Caenorhabditis elegans: one gene and its partner. The protein of the gene in region 1 purifies or fractionates together with the protein of each later gene. This does not show direct contact. Each region holds a gene or a part of one and is shown on either strand. Other genes may lie near its edges. The genes, in order: F42H10.6 and chin-1.

What was found.
Region 2: the proteins of F42H10.6 (region 1) and chin-1 fractionate together in Caenorhabditis elegans (co-fractionation; one large-scale study listed by BioGRID). This does not show direct contact.

What each region holds. Positions count from the first base shown.
Region 1 is NC_003281.10:8,477,860-8,481,602, reverse strand, and holds F42H10.6 (Putative esterase F42H10.6), read left to right. Parts: upstream 1-2,151; 5' UTR 2,152-2,162; coding exon 2,163-2,207; intron 2,208-2,266; coding exon 2,267-2,350; intron 2,351-2,429; coding exon 2,430-2,504; intron 2,505-2,605; coding exon 2,606-2,715; intron 2,716-2,950; coding exon 2,951-3,146; 3' UTR 3,147-3,221; downstream 3,222-3,743.
Region 2 is NC_003281.10:1,031,091-1,038,902, reverse strand, and holds chin-1 (Chimerin 2), read left to right. Parts: upstream 1-1,690; 5' UTR 1,691-1,692; coding exon 1,693-1,723; intron 1,724-1,808; coding exon 1,809-1,954; intron 1,955-2,002; coding exon 2,003-2,119; intron 2,120-2,448; coding exon 2,449-2,597; intron 2,598-3,866; coding exon 3,867-4,017; intron 4,018-4,433; coding exon 4,434-4,724; intron 4,725-5,628; coding exon 5,629-5,780; intron 5,781-6,081; coding exon 6,082-6,151; intron 6,152-7,028; coding exon 7,029-7,187; 3' UTR 7,188-7,581; downstream 7,582-7,812. Other genes in the region: pnpt-1 (polyribonucleotide nucleotidyltransferase), read right to left, coding at 718-859, 936-1,065, 1,219-1,298, 1,348-1,394.

The DNA of each region.
Region 1 (3,743 bases):
TCAATTGAAGACATTTTTTCAACTTTTTTAAAATATTTTTGTAATTAATTGTTCATCGGTATCGTTCAAATGAACCGAAATATAACGTTTCGAAGTTTTAATTTTTAAATTCTCATATCTCACATAAAAATTTTTGATTGCGACAATTTTGTAGTGAACAGGATATATAGTAATTCTACAAGAGATTGTTTGATGAAATAAAGGGACACATTGAAATTATGATTGAATGAAATGTGATACCCGTCTCCACCCACAACGTACTGGTAAACACTGCAAAGAATGTAATACTGAGGAGTGAAGAACTAAGAAAATTGAGAAGAGAAAGAAGAAGCAGGCAAAGAAGACGACTTTGTAGACTCCGGAGGTTCCGTTTCACACTCCCATTGTGATGATGATGATGATGATTCGGAGCGGCGGAACTAATGTCCGTATTGTTGTTACTGGAATGTCCGGGGCAAAAACTGAGATAAACACTAGATATCCAATACACTTTTTTCTTTTGAAAGTCGAATGATTTTCAGTTGAATTGAAGGATTTTTTCCTTTTTCCATCTTTTGAGTTTGAAGGGGTTGCCTAGATTGAAGACGTAGTCTTTTCGAAAAAAAAGTTTATAAACAAAATTATGCTTACTTTCTGAAATTATTCTCCACCAATCAGTTGGAAAAAATGCTTCGAAAATTTTTCGTGGGCACAACTGTTATAGACCTGAAGATTTCCGTTTTTTTTGCAAAAGAATACGGTATTTGGTCTCGAGACGACCAAAAATTGTATTTATAAAGGAGGTCGCAAAAATGAGTGTGCGCATTCAAAAAGTACAGTAGTTTTTACTTATGCGAAATGTGGAAGAAAATGTGAAAAAAACGAGAGATTCCGAAGAATTTCAAAACTACAGCATTATTTCAATGCGCACTTCATTGGTGGTACAGAATCGTTTTAAAACATTGGGTCGTGTCGAGACCTCGGTTTTTTGAAAGCCAATAATTTGCCAATAAAGTAAAGTGACAAAAGAAAAGCGGGTTAGTTGAAACGTAAAAAGAGCAAAAATAGTGTCCTTTTCGATTTCATTTTCCGGAAAGAAGAGCAACGAGTACGACAGCTGACGTGCAGTGTGAGCAAATGAAATGAGTCACTGAGATTCACACTTAAAACAATGCTAATTATATTTTAAAGAACATTGGTCAGTTGGTAAGGTATACTGTATTACCAAGAAATCGTGCATTACAGGTAAAAGAGTTTTTACGGATATACAATGTTATACATTTAACAGGCACAAAATAACTTTGACTAGGAAAAAAGAGGAAAAAGGATAGAGAAAAACATGTTCAGTTCAATTCGAATCTATTTCAATATCCGCCCTCCACATTCTTTCCGCATGAGAAGGCACATTTATGTTGACAAAATACAATTATTATCTGTGGCTTGAAGAAATACAAATCTTTGAATGAAAACCAACACAAATTGGAAAATATTTTGATTTTTTTGTTTGTTTAAGATAAAGAAGAAACTATTTGCAATGCCAATGTCCTAAAACCCTTGTCGCACGTGGTGTCAGGCTGTTCTCATTGCGGTTTGATCTACGAAAAATGCGGGAATATTTTTCCAGAAAAATTGTGACGTCAGCACGCTCTTAACCATGCGAAACGAGAAGAGATGTATGCGTCTCTTTTCCCGCATTTTTCGAAGATCAAAACGAAATGGGACTTTTTGACTCCACGTGTTGTCGTTGTGTCTGTGTCTGATATCTCTCGTAGCCATCTTTTTTTCCCGTTGCGGGTCAGATTGTTCTTCGGATGAGGATTGTCTTTAGAGAATAACCTTGACATATCCCCTCAACTTGACACGTTTTTATGTTTTTTGCGCTTTCTCGACCGTTTAAAAAATGTGTAGAGTTACTGTAGACTTAAAGGCACATGCACAAAATTTTCATCTACAACTTGTTGAAATGCGCTCTACCGCAAACATTTTTGTTTCTTTTTTGTGAATTAATTTCATCATTCCGCTCCGGCTGTGAGGGCTGCGATTCCAGTATACTTCGTACTTTTTACTTTGAAACGTTTTCTTTTCTTCAAATATGCGGAAATGCTCCTTTCACTGATAAACTGATAACAATCTCCTGATAATATAAATTAATTCGTCATTTTGCAGATTTTCTCACCTGAAAAATGGTTGGCCACTCCGAGTCTTCTACTGACGCTGTAATTGAACCGGTATGTTACATATTTATTAATAAAAAAGATACATAATTTAATTTGAAAATAGATTTCAGACAAGCGAAGAGCTGCTCGCGGAGCAAGTTCGAGTTTTCAACAAAATGAAAGGTTCCACAAATTTCAATCGAGTGGCTGAAGATGTCAGTTTTTTTTTGATAATAGTTTAAGATTAGGAATTTTTTTTCATTCAAAATATATTAATTCAAAATATAATTTCAGGTTTATCCGGTGGAGGTCACGAAGAGCAAGCTGGTATGTGAAATGGTGGTGCAGCATCAACACTTGAACTCAAAAGTGCGTTTAGTCCTAAAATTTCATGAAAACTTGTTTAAAATACCAGTAAAATTAAATTTAAAGAAAAATGAATATTCCGAAAAATTATCGCAATTTTTCAGGGAACACTTCACGGCGGTCAAACTGCTACCCTGACAGATGTTATCACCGCTCGGGCAGTTGGAGTCACAGTAAAAGATAAAGGAATGGCTTCTGTTGAACTGGCTGTTAGGTAAACTTTGCTCTAACAATAGTATGATTTTAAAAATCAGATTGTAAAGTCTGATGTTTTTTCGCGTAAATTGAAAATGACATCATCTATCAAAAAAAAAAAAGTGGAGCCATCACACCATTTCAAAACTATTCAAAATATTTCAATTGTTTCTTTGAATTTCTCACAAAAATTGAATTAGGTATATTTAAGAAACAAAAGAAGTGGTTTGTTTTCTAAAAAAATCTTTTTTCAGCTACCTTCTACCAGTCAAAGTTGGAGACGTTCTGGAAATCACTGCACACGTATTGAAAGTCGGACGAACAATGGCATTTACCGATTGTGAATTCCGGCGGAAATCGGATGGAAAAATGTCGGCAAAGGGAAAACATACTCTAGCATTCCTTCCAAATCAGCCTGGAATTTCTGTGGAAAATGGCACGCAGTTTTAATTATGTTTGTTCTTTCTTTTTGCATAATAATTGTTTCTTTTGGGTTCGATTTGTGATATAAAAAATATTTTATTGAAACTTTTTTGGAGAATGTGAGAAGCCACCGAAAACGCAAATATCGAGAAAAAATGGGGGAGAACAATAATAAAATACAATGTAGAGAATTTGGGGGGCCGAGAATAAAAAAGGAATATCACATGCTTGGTGCAAGGAAAAGCGGACATGGAATGGAGAAAATAATGAAAGAAGTTTAAAAGTTTAAAAATTGCACATTGGTTTTGCTCAAGAGTTTCTTATTTGAAGGAACGAGAGATGGGACAGAGAGAAAATATTCACCGTTTAATTTTTTTGGATGGAAATCAATAAATACAATAATAAATTATATTTAGAAATGCGTCTTAAATAATGTAGATTTCGAATTATTATGCATACGTATACACGCTCTACGAAACCTCATCAATAGAGCGAGATTGCCGAGTATGCGGGCAAGAAATATTCAAATTTGTCTTAAAGCAATTAATTTCAGGAATTTGTGAATGTTTTGAAACAACGAGCATGAATGGCATTGAGAAATAGAAAGTTCTGGGAAAAGAAGAG
Region 2 (7,812 bases), 7.4 Mb from region 1:
GAATTTTTTTGAGAAATAGTATGGAAATTACTAAAATTTTCATAAAAATCTGATAATTTTAGGAATTTCCGGAACTTTTTTACGGCTTTTTAACCAATTTTAAATTTTTATGTTTAAAAACTTTTTTTTTTTGGAAAAAAAAACATAATTCCCTCAATTTTAGTAATTTCGAACTAGAAAATTGGAGTTTTTTGTAATTTTTTAAGCCTAAACCCCTTTTTTTCCACCAATGTCGTAAGATTTGGTGTTTTGGGTTACGGTAGTCGGTGTTTGCGTACTTTTGGGGCTACAGTACCCCGCGAAATTCCAAATTGAGCTAAAAAGTCATACTAAAAGCTGTTCAAAGCTAAACTTTGCGCTGATTTCGAATTTTTAACTTTTCCCGTTGGTTTTTCAATTTTTTGCACTAAAATTTTTGAAAAATTCGATTTTCTCAGAATTTTCAGAATTTTTCAGACGTTTTCAATGTGTTTTTCGGGTTCCTCGTGATTTTTTAGCCCCTCAGCCCATTTTTCAGGGCAAAATCTTAAAATGTCGTAAGATCCGGTGTTTTGGGCTACGGTAGTCGGTGTTTGCGTACTTTTGGGGCTACCGTACCCCAAAACTCCAAAAATTGCGATAGAAAACCCAATTTTAAAGGTCTTAAGGCAGAATTTCGCGTAGAATTCGATTTTTCCAACAAAAACCTCTGAATTTCGCTGAAAATCCCAGTTTTACCTGAGTTTCATAGGAATTTCCGGGTAAAAGTGGTCTAATCGACCTGTCAATGGCTCTGGAGATGAGGATTTCATTGTCAGATTGACTGAGCTCACGACGCAGGAAATTTGTTGGAATTCGGCCAATTGCTGACGCTGACGGTCTGGAATTTTCAGTTTTTAGGCCATTTTTATCGGTTTTTAGCGGTTTTTTCGCAATTTTTTTTCCGAATTTCTCACCGATATTCAACTTGTAGCGGTACTCCACTACCATCTCCTTGCTTGGATTTCCGTTGTACTACTGTAGCCATCACGGCGTTGTCTCCGAATGAAGCAACTACGGTGGATGACGCAAAACGGGCGAGGTGGCCTGAAAAATCAAAATTTTCATGAAAATTCCTTTTCTAGACAGTGGAGAATTTTTTCGCGCATCTTTTGCGGCAAAAATCGGCTCGAAATCTTTATTTTTAAGATTTTTAGCAATTTTTCCCGTTTTTTTTCTAGTTTTTTTTCAAATTCCCACCAGCTTTCAGCTCGATTCCACTTTTTCCATCAAAATCCACTGCTACTGATTGTTCTCGACCCGCTAATCGATATTCTTTCCTGGAAAACTCGCCAGATTTTTATTTTTTTGAATAATTTTCTGACTTACGTGTGAAATCTCTTGGAAATGTGGATTGGCAACCGGGAAAGTTTCATTTTTAATCTAAAAAACTAATTTTTATTCAATTTTTATCGAAAAATTGAGAAAAAAACAGCGAAAATGAGTGAAAATTCAATATTTTCAAGTTTTGAATTAAAAAAATAATTTGGTCGAGAAATGCGCCAAGGAAATTTTGCTGGCGCGTGTCTCGATCGCTGGCACTTTTCGCGATTTTCTTCAGAATTTTATTTATTTTCTAAGAAATTAGCTCAACTTTGCTCATTTTTCTCCAAATTTCTTCGATTTTTTTGCATTTTCAGTTAAAAAATCAATAAAAATCGAATTTTTGCAGGTATGGAAGACGACGGGCCTCCTGGGAGCTCGGGTAAGTCATTTTTTTCAAGCTCAACAAGTTTTGGAAGCTTTAAAAATATCCGAAAAGCTAAAATCTCAAATTTTCCAATTTCCAGGAGCATCAAAAGGATACTGGAAGCAAAATTTGTACCTTTTACAAGAAAAAGCGCCGAAACCCAACGCAGTTTTGTGCCGAAAACCTCTTCAGCAGAGACCTCGACATTTTGGAGCCGAATTTCACGGATTAATCGATAGAAATGAGGTTTTTAGTGATTTTTGGGTGTTTTAAGCTCGAAAATTCGATTTTCAGGCCGAAAAAATGCTGCTGGAGGCCGGAGAAGGCTCGTATTTGGTGCGGGAGTCGAATCGGAGCAGAGACGCGTGCACTTTGTGTATGATTTTTGATGCAAAGGTTATGAATTATAAAGTAAGCATTTTTAGAGTTTAAAAAGCAGAAAAAATCGATAAACATCAAGAAAATACCCGAAAAATATCAAATTTTCCGCTAAATTTTCGAATTTAGTGAAAAATTCCCAATTTTTGTTAACTCGCCGTGGCAAATGCGCTCTATCGGCAATTTTAGGCTGGAAATCTCGAATTTTTGCATAAAAAACTGCGAGAATTCGGAATTTTTCACCTAAAATTGCTCCGCGAGCACATTTGACCACTTTCCCTGGGAACCGCTGCCCAAATTTTCATTTTTAATTCAAAAACTTGGGATTTTTTCAATTTTTAGCCAAATTTTTAAATTTCCAGCTCTACTACGACGGTCAATTCTACGTTGGGGAGAAGCGTTTCGACACTATGGACCTTTTGGTGGCTGATGGGCTCATTTCAATGTTTGTGGACCTTCACGCGGCGGATTATATAAAAAGAATGGCGGATGAGGCGATTTATGAGGATAGGTATGGGAATTGGCGGAACATTAGCGAAAAATAGGCCGAAAATCATGAAAAATGGCAAAAATCACAAGAAAATGAGCCAAAAATTATAAAAATTGAAGAAAATTGACTTAGAATATAAATTCCGTGGCAAATGTGCTCTATCGGCGATTTTAGGCGGGAAATTTCAAATTTTCGCATTAAATACTGCAAAAATTTGGATTTTTAAGCTTTTAATTGCTCACCGAGCACATTTGACCATTTTCCCGGGGAACCTCTGCCCGAATTTTCATTTTTACCTCAAAAACTTTGGAAACATGACATTTTCGCTAATTTTCTGCTTTTAAAGCGTAAAATAGCTCAAAAATGCAAAATTTTCGGGTTTTTGGTTGAATTTTGCTCCAAAAATCGGAAAATAGTGGGAAAAATCTGAAATTTACTGAAAAATATGGTAAAAACTAGATTTCTTGCCCTAACGTTAATTTTTAAATGCTAAAAACTACAAAACGCGTCGAAAATTCAAAAACTGCCAATTTTTTCTTAGAAAATTCTAAAAATTTCAATAAAAAGCTCACTTAAATAATTCAAACCTACTTTCTGTTTTCTCCGTGGCAAATGTGCTCTATCGGCGATTTTGGCTTAGAAATTTCAAATTTTCGCATTAAATACTGCAAAAATTTGGATTTTTAAGCTTTTAATTGCTCACCGAGCCCATTTGACCACTTTCCCGGGGAACCTCTGCCCAAATTTCGATTTTTACCTTAAAAACTTGAAAAAATTAAAATATTGCTAATTTTAAGCTTCGAGAGCTCAAAATTACCGTAAAATTGCCGAAAAATTGAGTTTTCCCTGATTTTGGTCAAATTTTGATGTAAAAATCGGAAAATAGTGAAAAAATATGACAAGTTTACGGTAAAAACTGAAAAATATCCAAAAACTAGTCTTTTTGCCCTAATTTAGATTTTTCAGTGCTAAAAAGCTACGAAACGCGTCAAAAATTCCAATTTTTTTCTAGAAAATTCGAAAACTTTCTCTGAATTTTTGAATTCTCCCTAGAAATTGTCTTTGTACGCTTTTCCGTGGCAAATGTGCTCTATCGGCGATTACGGGCTGAAAATTTCAAATTTTTGCATTAAAAACTGAAAAATTTTGAAATTTTCCACCCGACATTGCTCACCGAGCCCATTTGACCACTTTCCCGGGGAACCTCTGCCCAAATTTTCATTTTTACCTTAAACAGTTTAGATTTTTGCGGTTTTTCCAGTTTTCCCCATAGAAATATCGATTTTTCAGCCCATATTCTCGGTATACGAACGCCGCCGCCACCACTTCAGACATTGTACGCCGTCCCGTCACTCGAGCACACAACTTCACGTCGTACACCTTCAAAGCTCCGCACTACTGTGATTATTGCCGAAATTTCCTGTGGGGATTGGTGCATCAGGTAAAATATTATAAAATATACGCGAAAATTAAGAAAAAACTGGAAATTGTGAAATTTTAGGGCGAAATTCTGGAATTTTTTGAAAAAAATTCATGAAAAAAACACAATTTTCGCAAAAACTGGCAATTTCTTCGGATTTTTAATGCCTTTTTCGAATTCCCCGCACTATTTTACCCCCGGAACTCGTTTTTCAGGCAAAAATCTCGCAATTACGTAAGATCCGGTGTTTCGGGTTACTGTAGTCGGTGTTTGCGTACTTTTGGAGCTACAGTACCCCGCGAAATTTCAAAATTGAGCTAGAAAGTCTGAGTTAAAGCTATTTAAGGCTAAATTTTGCGCTGATTTCGAATTTTATGAAGGATTAGCGCAATTAATATTTTTTCGAGAAACAATTTCAAAAAAATCAAATTTTCCAGGGAATGCGATGCGAGGACTGTGGCTTCGCGGCTCACAAAAAATGCTCGGAAAAAACGCTTCACGACTGTGTGCCCGACTCGAAATACGTGAAACGCATGTTCGGCGTCGACATTACCACCCTGTGCATGGCTCACGGAGCAGATTTGCCGCCAATCGTGCCACTTTGCATTGGAGAAGTCGAATCGAGGGGTCTTGATGTGGAGGGGATTTATCGGGTTTCGGGATCCTATGATCATATGGAAAAGCTCAAGCAACAGTTTGATTCTAATCAATATGTGGACTTGGCTACGGTAATTTGCGCGGGATTTTCAGCGTTTTCCCGGAGTTTTTGCCTAAAAAATTGCAAAAATCCAAAGAAAATGAGCCAAAAATCGTAAAAATTGAAGAAAATTGACCTAAAATAAGATTTCCGTGGCAAATGTGCTCTATCGGCGATTTTGGCTTGAAAATTTTAAATTTTCGCATAAAAAAACTGCTAAAATTTGGAATTTTCCACCCGGAATTGCTCACCGAGCACATTTGACCACTTTCCCGGGGAAGCTCTGCCCAAATTTTCATTTTTACTCGAAAAACTCGAAATTTCACATATTCAGCTCAATTTTTCAAGTTTTCTACTGCAAAATTCACTTTGAAAACCCTAACAATATCCTAGAACCCGTTTTTTGTGAAATTTCAAATATGCACCTATGGCTCAGTAGGTAACACAGATGGCTGCCAAGCACAAGACCGGGGTTCGACCCTCGCCGCGGCGAATTTCTTTTATTTTGCTTGAAATTGATTCTCAGAACGATTTAAAGTTTTATGACTCAAATTTTTTCTTGAAACTCAATTTTTGTGTAAAAATCTGAAATTTACTGGAAAATATCGAAAAAAAATTAGTTTTCTCACACTAAAAAATTCGAAAATTCAAAAACTGTCTATTGTTTTCTAGAAAATTCACAAAAATTTCACTAAATTTTTGAATTCTTCTTTAAAATTGTCTTTGTATGCTTTTCCGTGGCAAATGTGCTCTATCGGTGATTTTGGGCTGAAAATTTCAAATTTTCGCATAAAAAACTACGAAAATTTGGAATTTTCAGACCTCTATTGCTCACCGAGCACATTTGGCCACTTTCCCGGGGAACCTCTGCCCAAATTTTCATTTTTACCCCAAAAAACTTTCAATTTTTCTCAAAATTTCACCAATTTTTTCAGGTTTGCGATATTCACACAGTTTGCGGGCTCTTGAAGCTCTACTTCCGCCTACTACCACAGCAACTGATCCCGTTCAGCGTCCATAAGCAGCTTCTCGTCGCCTACCAGGAGACGAATCAACGATCTACACATGAGAGGGAGCGGCAGATAAGGTGCTGGAAATTTGGGGATTTTGGGTCCAAAATTTTCCCAAAATTGTAGAAATCCCGGTGAAAATGAGCCAAAAAATAGCTTTAAAAAATTTTTTTGGAAATTCCGTGGCAAATGTGCTCTATCGGCGATTTTGACTTGGAAATCTCAAACTTTCGCGTAAAAAACTGTGAAAATTTGAATTTTTCCACCCAAAATTGCTCACCGAGCCCATTTGACCACTTTCCCGGGGAACCTCTGCCCAAATTTTCATTTTTTCTCTCGAAAACTGGAAAACATTCTGAAATTACTGGAAAATTTCAGAAAAGTGATGATGGAGCTGTCCGATGCGAACATAATCACACTTGGAGCAGTGTTGGCGCATTTGAAAAAGGTAAAAATTCAAAATTTCACTATTTAAGTGGATTTTCGAAGGTTTTTGACCTAAAAATTCACTCCAAACCCCCTGAAAATACCCTAGAACCCATTTTCGCGAAATTTCGAAAATGCATCGGTGGCTCAGTAGGTAACACGGATGGCTGCCAAGCACACGACCGGGGTTCGACCCCCACTGCGGCGAATTTTTTGTTTTGATTGATATTGGTTCTCAAAGCATTTAAAAGTGTCGAAAACCAGTTTTAGAATTATTTTCTGTCCAAATTTCGAATTTTTCTTATAAAAATGAATAAAGCCCCAAATAACTTAATTCTAGTCAATTTTTCATCGCTTTTAGGTGTAAAAATCAGTTTAAACCCCCTAAGAATTCCCGGAAACCCATTTTCCGCAAATTTTCAAAAATGCACCTGTGGCTCAGAGGGTAACACAGATGGCTACCAAGCACACGACCGGGGTTCGACCCCCGCCGGGGCGAATTTCTTTTATTTTGCTTGGAATTGGTTCTCATAGCGTTTTAAAGTTTTATGGCTCAAACTTTTGCAAAATTCGCTTAATTTTTTTTCGTAAGAACAAGGAAATATTCTAAAAACTCAACTCTAGTAATTTTTCATAGCTTTTAGGTGTAAAAATTAGTGCAAACCCCCTAGAAATACCCCGAAACCCAGTTTTTGCGAAATTTAAAACTTGCACCGATGGCGCAGTGGGTAACACGGATGGCTGCCAAGCACAAGACCGAGGTTTGACCCCCGCTGTGGCCAATATTTTTTATTTGGCTTGAAATTTAGTTTTCCCCTAAAAAATTAGTTCTTAAGTTAAAAAATTCGAATTTTCAAACAAATTTTCTGGAATTTTTCAAAAAATTTCCCCAATTCCAGGTGGCAGATCACAGTGCAAAAAACAAGATGACCGTCGAAAATCTGGCGACAATTTTCTCGCCGACACTCTTCTGCTCGGGCTCCATACCCGCCATGCCGAACCATCAGCTGCTCCATTTTCTGATCAATAATCCACGTGTCGTGCCGAAACATCATTAATTTATTGCTCCCCGTGGTGGCAAGTGTGCTCTATCGGCGATTTTGGGTCGAAAATCTCAAATTTTCGTATGAAAAATTGTGAAAATTTGGAATTTTCGACTTTTAATTGCTCACCGAGCCGGCTTGACCACTTTCCCGGGGAACCTCTGCCTAAATTTTCATTTTCCTAGATCTATATCTCCCAGTTTATGCATTTTCTTCAGCAATTTCTCTCATCTCTCCGCATACTTTTCTTCATTTACATATCGGGTACCCGTTTTCTCTCGCTTTTGCATGTTTTTTGACCAGTTTTATGCATTTATTTATGATTTTTCCTTATTTTTCACATGTTGTTACGTTCTTATTGCATAATGTTTTTTTCCGAGTTTTAGAATATAAATTTATTGAGCTGTAATTCAAAAATTCTCAAAATTTTGTGATTTTAAGACCCCTGGCGCGTTGAATTCCGAAATTTTCATATTTTTCTGCAGTTTTTGGCTCAAAGCCTTGAATTTTGGCTTGGAACCGATGATTTTCAGTCAGAAGCCCAAACACCGCCAAATTTTTGCTCTGCAGCTCAAATGCTAGCTGAAAATGTTAAAACTCCGTTCAGAACCTGAAAATTTGACTCAGAATACCAGATTTC